Styela clava: one gene and its partner. The protein of the gene in region 2 purifies or fractionates together with the protein of the main gene of each other region. This does not show direct contact. Links are inferred from orthologs where the notes say so. Each region holds a gene or a part of one and is shown on either strand. Other genes may lie near its edges.

Region 1 (6,936 bases), on a different chromosome or scaffold from region 2:
ACAAACGAACAAAAGTGAAGTTTAATAATAACTACTGCAACGAAGTGAAAAATTTTAATCCATTAAAAATGTTGAGAAAAATTAAAAAAAAAGTAGCGCAGCAGAAACATGCAAAGAAAACAGGTTGTTCGACATAAAACATAAACGATTAAAGCGAACACTTATCCAATTTGTGCTAATAAATCATGCCTTGTAAACACCATGAAGAGTAGCATGCATAAAACTATGTCCTATAATAACAAATAACCTTTGTGATTACGTTTTCCATTAAACCTGACTGGTTTCAAAAGCTGCAAAATTAAGGATAGACATATCCTCATTTACCATAATGCAATAATATTAGAGATGAAAAAAAATGACGCATGACAATTTTGAGAATAGTAACATAAAACATGAAATATATCTAGATTATGATGATAGAAATTAGAGAAAGTTGAAATCTAATGCCAAAAACATAAAATTCCACATATGCATCATCGTTTTTTCAACTATTCCATTACTAAATTGCTTTTCTGTGAAACTTTAATTTAATGCATCGCATATATCATGATGGACTTTACAGTGAGACATTATTGTAGGATACAAGACAATACAGATATAAACATCCACACTAGGAGAGCAAGACAACTGATTGCCAAATGAACTGTAATTGCCACAAAACTACGGTATATATTGTTTCCTGAGTTACTTATGTTTGTAAATTGTAATCCAATGATTTCATTGATGTTTTGATCACACTCACCACTACAACTAAGGTATGACAAATGGTAAATGGAGATGAGAAAACAGAAAATAAACTAAGAACATTGAAAAATTGGTAGTGGGATATAAGGCCAAAAGGTAAAAATTGGCCAAATGTAATACAGAATAAAACAGAAAATACTTAATCCTTAAACATTAAAATTATAAAAAAATTTCCATTTAAAATATAATTTTCCAAAAATACAATTGGAAATCTATGTATGCCATAATTGTCACAAAATCTGGTCTCAATAAATTTAATTTTACCTCCAGCCCTAAATCCCATAAACTTTATATAAGAGTTTCAAATATCAGACGTGTATGACTGCAATACAATTTTACTATTTTAATAAAAAAAATTTGCACAAAATGAATTAGTTTTACTAACCTTTTCCAGTCGAATAACTATTTTATTCGTTTCAATGACGACTCTGTCAATTCTTGCATCCCTCATAGATTTAAATTTATCAATATGACTTTTAGTAACACCTGAAAAGCATTGATGAGTAGATGAAAACACGAATGAATAAGCGAAAAAAAATATGGCTGTGGAGTCAGTATCTGGAAGTAAACATTGGGAGTTAAAGCTGAAGTCATGTTTTTAATCGTGCCAAGACAAAAATCCATAATTTTTATGGTGGTGATCGAAGTCAGATTACAAATGGAAACCTGAAAAGCATTAGGCTGACTAAGCAGTCTCAATAAACAATTAAACAGATTGTGTACATTGAAGTTTTCATGGTTAAAATTGAGATGGAATCTGGGGTTTTGAGTAACAATTTTTTTAATTTACGGTTTGGGGCCCAGAGACAAAATTTATTTCATCCAGATGTCACAGCAGAAGTCGTTTTTTAAACATCTCAGAATTTGTAGTAGAGTAAAAAGTTTTCCACGACGCAAAAGCCTTTAAAAAAAAATAGGGCACGGAAAACTCCGAAACTGAATAAACAAAATTTTACACTACTGTCAAGTATTCGTACAACCTCAAGTACATTAATCATAGAATGCAGTAATATATTGCATGACTCAAATGTGAAAATAGAGAAAAGTAAAATATGTCTATCTTCATTCATTTAATACCTAATTCTTGAGGTTCCCAAAAAGCTGGATCTACAAACGATAAACTCCTGTTTGATGATGAGGATTGAAAATTTGAAAATGGATTTCGATCATCATCCTCTTCATATTCTCTTCCTAATAATTTATCTTTGGCTTTGGAAAACAGGCCTGAAAATAGCGATAAATTATGATGAAAATGAATAGTAAGATATTTAAAAAGGTGAATACTGAAGAGATTTTATATATATATATATATATATATATGCTACATTGAACAAAACACCAAAAGCATTACTATTCAAAAAGGATGTAATGTGAAGGTGAATATCCAGAAAATTTTCAAATCGAACATGATTGGGCATATCTGTTCATCTCAGGATGATTTTTTCAGCAGAGTTAATACAAGTCCCAAAGTCACGAGTTAAGACTGGTCGTACGATTCTCAAGTCAAGTTCAACTGGCGGTTAGTTGATTATGAGTCCCGGTAAATGGTGACTGAAATCAAGTCAATGACTCAAGCCTTAATCACACTGGTTGTCAGATATCAACAGCCCAGCACCAACGACTCAGCAGTGGCAGAAATAAACTATGCCATGACATACGATTGATTTGTAAAAATGAGGCATATACCGGTATATTTGGAATCGGCAATTGGCATAAGGAGGGAAAGAGCGAGTCTATATTTCACAAACAACATCAACACTAATGAATAATGTATTACGATATTGAATATAAAAGCCACATTTTCAGATAATATTGTTCCATGTCATTATGTGGGTCATTCCGCAAGACTGATGAAGGGGCTCTTAAATCCCGACTTGCTATGTTTCACTGCGATATGGCGTTCACTCTCAGTACGGTAATCATTTAAGTTGACAATACAAATATTATATACCGAGTTTACCAGATCAGTAGATAAAGAAATAAATAAAAAATGAACAACAGCATGAAAAGTCACCTTTAACAGATCAAAGAAATGATAATAGATAGCTTTAAAGTTTGGGGTGTTAGTTTCATTTACCTCTGATTTGGCTCATAACAGCCTTATCTTCATTAGAGTGTTCTGATTCAAAATGAGACTGTAGATTATGAAAAGACTGAAGATCCTGTAAACACATTGGACATAGAAAACCCTCCATTACAGAATCCCCTTCAGTCGAATCCATCCCACTACCAGAAGGCGAAAACGCCGCCATAAACTGATAAAGACAAAAATAATGCAAAATCAGAAGAAATCGATAAAATCCCCGAAAACCAGAAGGTGATACTTCAACTCTTTTGCGCCCTCTCACGATCAGACATAAGGCAAATATCATTTGCAGTGACAGTGTAGTGGCAGTTCATCAGAGATGGAGGCACTGGAGTACCGTACGGGAGTCATTTTCTTCCAGAATTACCGTAAAGTTCAGGTGAGTTGAGGAATTGTAATGAAAAATTAATGTGAGCTATTGACAGGAAAATAGCTTTAGAAATTCATATAGAGTGTTATCGAGAGGTGTGCCATTGACAAAATGTAATTAAAAGATGAATGAATGCCGGTGAACATTGCACAGTATTTATTTTATGTCTGTGTACGGTATGTAGAGTGCCAACAGACTGCTGAACTAGTACGGTACGTTAACTTCTATGCGGAAATGAGATACAATTTTTGCCATATGATGTTTATATATATATATGTTTGGTATGGAGGTAAAGTGGAGAAATATCGAAATCTGTGTTCTCGGTTGTCATAATATGCAGTTTCCAGGTTTCTGACTTTTCACACAAATGCGTTCTCATAGCATACCGTAGGCTGGTAGGTAGGTATCTAAATGACAAACACATTCTTAGTCTTCTTGTATACCAGTAAAAGCATCCAAATCGAAACAGAAGCCTCAGTCTAAAGTAAACTTCGTAACTCTGTAACTCCTCTTAAAATAATGCCAAAAAACAAGTAGTGGAAGTTAAATGAGTACCAAAACTGCTTAAATAATGCCTAACAAAATTGTGATGTGAAATTTTGATGTTTTTTTTTTAAAAAGTATGTCTGGCACGGAATGAAATTTTTGATAAATGCCAGTTCACCAAATAGGTTATCAATAAGGTTCCACGTGAGACACTTATTTTTTGAAAAATTGAAGTTTGGGCTGCATTTTCACATTACATTTTTGTTTTACGATATGTAAGCAGTTATTCAAGGCGGTATTTAGGCACTTACGGCGTGTACTTTGCTAGGCTCGTTATATGATAATATTATTAAGTTACGCGATCTTGCACTTGTCCATAATGCATTGTATAAATATGCTTATCCGGATTTTAAAATTCTTAATATTTTTCTAATCAATTCTCTAGATGTCACTGTAGATTTATAATAATTAAGACATGTTGGAAAATGATTAAAAGATGGAATCACTTGGTGCAACTTTCAGTCATTGTATTTTTGACATTCATCCATTTCATTCTGGGAACTAGTAATTATAGTACACATACATGGAACATAAAGATAAAATATTATGACGATAACCATTCACACAAGAAGCATTTTGATGAACTTGCGAATGGCATTGCTGACGAACTCGGCGTATTTAATAAGGGACAGATCGGAGAGTTGACAGGCTTTTATCTTTTTGAATCAGATACGAATAATCATGACCATTTATTGAAGCTTTTTGATAACCATAAACACATAGAGTGGCATAGTAAAGAAGTTGATTTGAAGCGAACGAAACGTTCGCATATTAATGTGCCAAATTTATTGCACTTCAATGATCCATTGTATAATGAACAATGGCATTTAAAAAATCTTATTGGATATGACTGTAATGTTACTGGAGTCTGGGCTCGTAACATCACTGGAAAAGGGATTGTCGTGGCTGTAGTAGATGATGGCGTGGAATGGCGACATCCAGATTTAAAAGACAATTACTGTAAAGAAGGAAGTTTTGATTTAAATTCTAACGACGATGATCCCTCGCCTGTTTATGATGAAGAAGAAGAAAATAAACACGGTACAAGGTGTGCGGGTGAAATTGCCGCAGTTCCAAATTCAGTTTGTGGTGTTGGAATTGCATTCGGTTCAAAATTTAGCGGAATCAGGGTTCTGGATGGTACAACTACAGATTCGTCAGAGGCAACTGCTTTTAACAAACATATGGATGTAAATGATATTTACAGTTGTTCATGGGGCCCGGAAGATGATGGCAAAACTGTTGATGGTCCTCATGATTTGGGTCGTATGGCACTACAACATGGTGTTGTCGCAGGAAGGGATGGATTTGGTTCAATATTTGTCGTGGCAAGTGGCAATGGTGGTCTTAAGGGAGACAACTGTAATTATGATGGATATGCAAGCTCAATTTATACAATTACAATCGGTGCTATTGATGAAATGGGCAATAAACCATCATATGCGGAAGAGTGTGCTTCTATGCTAGCTTGTTCTGTCAGCTCTGGTTCTGGTTTATTAATAAGAGACATTGTAACAACAGACTGGTCACTTCCACCTGGTAATTCAGCTGATCAATGTACGCATAGTCATACTGGAACATCTGCAGCTACGCCATTAGCAGCTGGAATGGTTGCACTGATGTTGGAAGCAAGACCTTGTCTTACTTGGAGAGATATACAACATATTATGGTAATGACTGCTGTTGAAGTTGACCATGCAACCGCATGGACTCAAAATAAAGCTGGATTTCGACATAGTAATATCCACGGCTTTGGTCTTCTAGATGCGTGGCGTTTAGTAAATGCCGCCAAAGTGTGGAAATCTGTGCCATGGTTTACGTCGCTTACTGCCGATACGAGCCATGATAAAAATTTAGCTATTTCTATGGATAGACATGAATCCTTGATTTTGCACACTGAAGTTACAACTGAGAACTGTAAAAATAATATGTTATCAACATTAGAGTATATTTTATTCACTGTCACTGTAACCCACCATACCAGAGGGAACCTGAAGTTTATTTTGCTTTGTCCATCAGGAACTAGATCGGAGGTTCCAACTCGACGGTCCGATACATCAGATAAGGGACTCACCGATTGGAGTTTTTCAACAGTAAAATGCTGGGGCGAAAATCCAGCTGGGAAATATACATTGAAAGTCATAGACACAAGTAGGAAATTACCACAAGGGGAAAGTTTGGGGGTCTTAAAAAGCTGGAAATTAACTTTGTACGGATCAAGTTGGACTGCAGATGAAATGAAAAAACGAAAAACATATATTGAATCTGTTATGGATGGTAGTTATCTTGATAATTTCAGTCTTCCTTGCCCTCCTGGTACACCTTTAGAATTCGATGTCACATCCGCACTTTCTGATCGCACCATTAAACTTGTAACAATGATATCTTGCTTTTTATTGTTTTGGGGAGTATATTACACAATTGAAATGGCATTTTGTAATGCAGAAGACAAAGAGGAGAAAGAAAATGATATTGAAAATGATCAAACTGATGCTGAGCGGATTGAAACACCTCAAAATGGATATGGTACATCTACCGAGAGTGTGCAACTTTTTCCTAATTCTACCTTCATAGGTACAAATGAAGATGTAGCAATGCTTGATATCGAAGAAGATACTCAAATAAATAACGGCGATCCTGGTACACAAAAAGAAGCTGAATTGAATGCTGCAATGACCATTTCTAATACTGATTCATTTCTTTCTGCTGAATTAGAAGTCAATTCACAAATTAATGATGAAAATATTGTAATTGACAATTCAATTGAAGATGTTACGTAGTACTTTTAAAAAAAAAATGATTGTGAAATTAACACTTCATCTACTCCTAACACTGAATCATTCTTTTCTGGCGAATGGGACAGAAGCATGTTAACAATTTATTACTACAATTTGATTTTTAACAAAGATGTTGCATGAGTTGATGATATTGTTTGCAGCAAGAGTTTTTATAACCCGAACGTCCCGAAGTATAACAAATGTCAGTATTTTGTATGGAAAAGAAACATACTGCGCCGAAAATTTGTTATTAGTCTAGTCTGTTATTAACAGCCGACATATCCAATATGCTGCAATTAGATTAGAAGATGATCGTTTGGTATTATTTTTCGCATGCGTAAGATATATTTATATATGAATAGTTTTGCACTTATGGTTGAATCTTTTTAATTTTTTTATGTGAAGCTTGTTCA
Region 2 (6,932 bases):
ATAATTTCTGGCAAATAATTCTGATAACGATAGTTGAAAGTATCGATATTTTACCAGGATGATTTTTTATTGCGCAAAATAATCCAATCCATGACTGGTACCGGCATTTAAAATGTCATGCCGTATTAATTTAATTCTGTTCAACGTAACTCAACGTACTCGACAATCTGTGGACATAAAATGTGTGGTAAACTGACCGATATTATTAAATATTGATTCCTATTTTTATATTGATAAAATAATGAAAGTATTAATACCAAATACAACGGGTATTTGTGGACATGAAATACGTGGTAAACTGCCCAATTATAATTAATTTCGGATTCGTATTTACAAAATATTAAAACCATTATAATTCTAAAATGCAACGGCGATCTGTGGCCTTAAAATGTGTGGTAAACTGCCCGATTTACCAACATTTGAGTTATGATAATAGAATTAAATTAACACAGTAAGGCATTTTAAGTAGTGGTATCAGTCATGGATTTGGATATTTTGCGCAGCACAAAATCATCCTAGTAAAAAGTCCATACTTTTAAATACAAACCAATGGCAACCATTATCCAAATTAGTTCCCAAGAGCGGGATAAAGAATAAATTCTTTTTCCGACTTGTGACAATTTTTCGTGAGTACGAAAATAAGAATCAAAAACTAATTATATTCGGCACAATATCACGGCAATCTGTGGACATAAATTGTGTGGCAAACTCGCGATTAATATTAATTTTTGATTCCTATTTTCGTATTTACAAAATACAACGGCGATCTGTGGACTTAGAATGTGTGGTAAACTACCCGATTATAAATAGTTTTTGATTCCTATTTTCATATTTATGAAATAATAAAAGTATTATTACTCAAACATACAACGGCGATCTGCGGACTTAAAATGTGTGGTAAAGTTCCCGAATATAATTGATTTTTGATTCGTATTTTTGTACTCACGAAAAAATTGTCACAAGTCGGAAAAATACCTCATACTTTATCCCGCTTTTTGATAAATAATTTGGATAATGGTTGGTATTTAAAAGTATGGGCGTTTTACTAGGATGATTTTGTTTTGCGCAAATATTCCAATCCATCATCGATACCACTATTGTCGTATTAATTTAATTCTGTTAACATGACTCATGGTACTGTATAGAAAATATATACTGCAATAATCTGCAAATAAGAAATGCCTGGATATTTGGCAAGGTTGTAACTTTAGATAGCAGTTATTCCATTGCTTATTGTATGGAAATTCCTACATACATTTAGATAAGCTTCAATTAGTGGATTTTATTTCCGAAGTATTCGAAATTTCATATTCGAAAAAAATAATTTCGAATGTATTCGAAATAGTGAACTATTCGATATTGGCCATCCCTGGGTAAACCATTTTCCTGAAGGAAGCTTTAGACAAGATACCAATCATAATTATGTGGAAAACTAAATTAGAACAGAGTATTTACCGTACATTTAGGGTACCATACAACTTGTAAAGTGTAAAGTAGGCGAACAAAATTAGTTACCTCCATATTGGTACACATACTCTGGAGCGCCCATTCTAGTATATCCTATTCAATTTGTTCACTGACGACTGGGAATATGATTCGAAACAGAGATTTATAACTTACAACAAGGGATAAAAAAAACGAACATGTCAAATATGCTTGAAAAACGTGGATAATTTAATAATATAATCGGAATAAAAATTCTCCATTTTAGCTCATCCCAGGTTTTACGTCCACAACACCAGTATAATATGACCAAGACATCATGACAAACGATAATTTTTCACAATTTCAATGCTTTTAAGACCCGCAAAAAATAATTATGACCACGAATTCATCATTTTGATCAAACAATGGATGGAAAATACCTGGTTTGTGATGTCATAGACAACAATTGCTGCTTGAGCGCCTCTGTAATACATGGGCGCAAGACTGTGGTATCGCTCCTGACCAGCAGTATCCCATATCTCAAATTTTACTGTCGTATCTTGAAGACAGACTGTCTGTGTGAGAAATGCGGCTGAAAAAAAAAAATATTGATTTACCAAGTAAAATATTGCTAATCAGACCAATTTACATCCAAAATTTAAATTATTTTATGAACGTCCATTCAGAGACTTTCTTTTTGAGAAAACCACTCAAACCAGTCAGTATATTGTCAACTGATATCTACAGTACAGTTCTTTCAAATAAAATAGCCCCGACATATCAGAGGGTGCATGTACAGGAAACAAGAATTGTAAGAAAAAATTAAGTAATTGGTTATCAGTAGTTTATCTTTCACTATACTGAAAGTAGGCCAAGACATACAAATTTGGTAATCTCGTAGTATGTGTACCAGGTTAAGGTTAGGCCATAAGTTTATTCCGATTTTCCCTATTTTAGTTCTATTGAAAGTCTGGGACTTTCTGTGTTAGCCAGGTGGATATACACAGTGGTGGGATTTCAAATTTTTTGTCAGCCGGTTCCATCATAAAAATGTCGAATTTTCAGGCGGTTCTGTTACAAAAAGTCATGTAATGCTAACCGGTTCGCTGATCTCATAAAATTCTGTGAGACGGTTCTATTGAACCGGTGCGAACCGGCTGAATACCACTACTGGATATACCCCCTGCGAATAGGCCGATGTACAGTAGGCGAATAAAATTAGTTACTTCCATATTGATACACACACTTCTTGTGCGCCTAAAAGTGCAATAAATTATGAAAAAACGGCATTTCAGGATGAAGGAGACTTGGAAAACCAATACTGGCTATTGTGCAGCGGCACTCATAATTGAGGGATTACTGTCATTACTCTTAGTTGAGACTTGAGCTTTGCTTTAAGAAAACTTTATTAAACGTAATTGAAAATTATTCGACTTTTGACACCAAGACTGCACAATTAAAAAAAAATGACTCCACCCACCTCCTATTGTAGACTCCTGATACTCATGGAATTGCCCTTTTACAAAACGCAACACCAAGCTACTTTTTCCAACAGCTGATTCGCCGAGAAGTACAAGTTTAAACTGACAGATTTTCCCAGGGCCTCCAGGCCCGTTCGGTCTTTGTTGTGGGGATCGTGCAGCCATTATATTAGTTTATTTATTATATTTAGTAATCTCAATACTGTAATTCTGTTAAAAAGTGATATTAGAAATTACTGTTTGACTGTCAGATGTCAAATGCTCAAAATACCAGCTTTTCAAATTAAAATGTTCCTAAAATCCAGAAGTTTCTACATTAAATATAACTACCGTAATTTAGAATGTACCAATCAATTTTTAACTTGTATTGAAATTCCATCATTTGAAACAATGGCTCCCAAAGTTGATTGACCACAGTTCAAAATTAGAAGCGAAAGGATATAGGGGAGCGCCTGCAAGGGACTGATGTCGATACAGGTACAAAAATTAAGATACTAATATAATTGAATTGTTACGAATAAGCACGTGCTGAGATAATAATGTAACAAATGGACAATTGGCGGTATTTAGTACATGAAAAGGTAAAAAACGTCAAGTGTTAAAAAACTATTTCACTTAAGTTCGCCAGGCCATATCAAATCATTATGTGGACCGTAACTGGCCCGCAGTTTGGGAACTATGGATTTAAAATAACACATTCTTACATCATTGGGTTTCATAGCAGTCAGCATAAACAAAAAAGCGAAAATTCCACTGACAAGATGCCACTCAAAAATAGTTTCATACCATCACCAGATAAGATGAACACATGACAAGAATACTCCTTCATAAATTCCACAAGCTAATCAAAAAAGAACTCAATTGGGTATCTATCACCACAGCACATTCTTTATTATTGCATTCCTTTTCTATAATATGCAAAGCATCAGTGTTCTAGAAACCGACAGTCCTGGCCAGGTCAAAATTAGACTAGTTATGGCCACTTTGTAGTCTCATATAGAACATAGCAAGAAGAAATATGACTTAGTTACATTTTCAATCAGTTCATTTCTTTTATGTTTATCTGGAATTTGCAAATCATTACTTCACTGCAAATTGGTACTAAAAATCATGATTTCATGACGAAAAATCATTTTATCAGGGGTAACCCACAGTTGGCCAAAGCTGAACGACTTACTAATATCAAAACATAAAAAAAAATTCCTAACATGAAATATAGGATATACCAGTATTTTTCAGTTCCCAGAATTTGAATGAAGGCCTTTTCATAAATTTGGTGCAAGCCTAGCTTCCTATCCTTCCCCTATGCCTTTATGCTAGTTGAACCGTATGTGTATGTGTATATTGCAAGGATGCTGTAGCAGAAAAAAACATGACTATTCTATCCAATTAAAGAGTCCTGCTGCACACTAACACAAATATATTTCTGTAACATTTCGTCTGACCAAACTCAAGACTTCCTCAGACAAGCAGTTTACAACAATCATTGTTGTAAACTGCTTTTAGATCATGCTGTGATATTTCAATTGCTCAAAATAATAATTTTTTAAAATGAAACTATTCTAAATATTCAAATACATTTGCATGTTCAATTCCCCAATTTAAATTATATTCAATATACCATATGCACAAATTTTAATATGAAAGGTATTACAAATTAAATATTAATACAGGTATACAATATTAAGGTATTCGGTTAGAAGATTAGTTGGTTTGGCCATCCCTCAGTAAAATATTTGGACTACAATGGACACTGTTAACATGCCTAACTATAGTGAAAACTACCGTAACCTGTTAAAGGTCAAGACAATATCTATGCAACTGCTCTTTTAACGGCATTCCAGAAGTATGTGTACCAATATGAAGGTAACTAATTTTGTTAGCCTACTTTACATCAAGTTGTATAAAGGGACTCAAACCTATGGGATGGGCAAGGGTCATATTCATTTGGCTAACACAGACAGTCGCCGAACTCGTGATAAAACTAAAATAAGGAAAATCGGAATAAAACTATGCCCTAACTATAACCTGGTACACACACTACGGGAGTACCCTTCTAACACTGTAATACTCTCACCAGTACCACAGTCCACTACCAAGAGTGAGAATACACTACTAATAAAAAGCAAACAATTGCGTAACCACCATGTATGTTTGCTGACAGTCATTCCTGTACATCGGATCAGATATCACATGTATTATTTTGTACAAAGAAGCTCATACTGAGTAAATATTACAATATCAGTAATCAGTATATGATATGTTAGAAAATTGAATAGATTCAAAATTAAATAGATTCAAAGGTGAAGGTATAGGTGACCCCAAAAAAGAGAATCCATAAATTTCTCAACTTCAGCTGAAATGAAGACAATTTATTATTAACTTTTGTTCGTTTCAGTAATCTAGGCTGGTTTGCACAGAAGTTATGTTCTATGAAGAATATATATCAAATGACTTGGGTCCTGTTTTCTTTTGGGTCACTTCGTATTTTAGAAATAATACGGAATTGTTTTATTCCAAGAAATTGCCCATCTCTGCCATTTGCCAATATCTGCCATTTACACATGACAATGAGGTCGGAGACAATAATAGGCTTATCCAAGTAACCAGGTTTGTTACTTATCGATTTTAATCGGTAAGTATGTTGATAGGTATTTGTCTGTCTTTTTTTTTTTTTTTTTTCATTGTATAGCAAACTTTCATATTTTATTACATTTATTTTTTTTTTGTTTGCCAATTGATCGAATTAATAGTTGATTAGTTCCCATCCAAATTTGATTTGATCCCATTCCCAAAAATAAACATTTGCATAGAAAAATCATGAAGGCAAAAAAATTATACATCCACAATGATAAAAATTTTTTTTTATTTGTCTGAATTTGTCTGTTAGATGCACGCGATATCTCACAAAAGCCAGATTGAATCTGCTCCAGATTTTGCATATGTGCATTCATCATATGTCATACCAGAAGCCTATTGATTTTGGATGAATTATGTCGTATAATTAGCGAGATATTAATTAATTAGTGATGGGACACAAAGTGTCACTATGGAGTAAAAGCGCTGTTTTGGGGGATCCCCTAACTTTCGATCGGTAAGTCTTCGGTCTCTGACCGATGTTCTCGTTTTATTTTTATTCAGTATCAATTGTAGGTCTTAAGACAGCCAATTTTAGGTCTCATAATATTAAATATGGATATAACAAATTCAAAATTTTGACGACACTAATTTATTCTAAATTCCTGATAAAATATTGAAAACAATAAACTAGTAAACAACAAACCGATATTACATAGATATTTTATTTGATTGGAATTTTTCAACTAAAATACACTATTCTCAAAAATTTTTGTATAATAAATAGCTACTAAATTTCTAATGAAAACAAACTGGTAATATCCTACCTAGGAAATACATAGATAGTTTGTGAACTGTTTTTATACCTTCAGTTTGTACAAGGCTCGAGATGAACTGCAGTTGATTGGTAATAATCTATCAATTACATGAACAATAACACTATTGTCTCACTATTTTCTAGGTAATCTCGTAGTATGTGAACCAAGATGGCAGACACCGGAACGTAGTATGTGTACCAGGTTATGGTTAGGCCTTAATTTTATTCGAATTTTACTTATTTTAGTTATATTACGAGTTCAGGGACTAGACAAGTGACTCGCATAGTATTTGTACCTGAATTTATGGCCTAACCCTAACCTGGTAGGCTGGTACACATACTATGTTCCGGTGTCAGCCATCTTAGTTCACATACTACGGGAGTACCATTTTCTACAGTTTCACAGAAATTGGATGAAGTCCTACTGAGAAACCTCATATCCTGAACACACAAGTTTACAAATAAAATACACCAACCTATTCTAAGAATAAAGAATTCATAATATGAAATACTAGTATAACCGTAGTAAAACCGTAGTTTAAAATTTTGATGACACTAATTTATACTAAATCCTCATTGAAAACAATAAACTGGTAATAACTATGTAGTAATACATAGATATTTCAATAGCG

Evidence for each region. Proteins that work in one complex are often made in the same cells at the same time.
Region 1: the proteins of ras-related protein Rab-5B-like (region 2) and rabenosyn-5-like purify together in Drosophila melanogaster (affinity purification with western blotting; 3 studies listed by BioGRID, with this or other methods). This does not show direct contact. The link is inferred for Styela clava from reciprocal best matches to the Drosophila melanogaster genes Rab5 and Rbsn-5.

The regions. Positions count from the first base shown.
Region 1 is NC_135258.1:11,764,766-11,771,701, forward strand, and holds the start of rabenosyn-5-like, read right to left. Parts: upstream 3,065-6,936; 5' UTR 2,997-3,064; coding exon 2,822-2,996; intron 1,969-2,821; coding exon 1,822-1,968; intron 1,231-1,821; coding exon 1,130-1,230; intron 291-1,129; coding exon 248-290; intron 1-247. Other genes in the region: proprotein convertase subtilisin/kexin type 7-like, read left to right, coding at 4,172-6,526.
Region 2 is NC_135261.1:2,886,144-2,893,075, reverse strand, and holds the start of ras-related protein Rab-5B-like, read right to left. Parts: upstream 3,119-6,932; 5' UTR 3,072-3,118; coding exon 2,906-3,071; intron 2,018-2,905; coding exon 1,866-2,017; intron 1-1,865.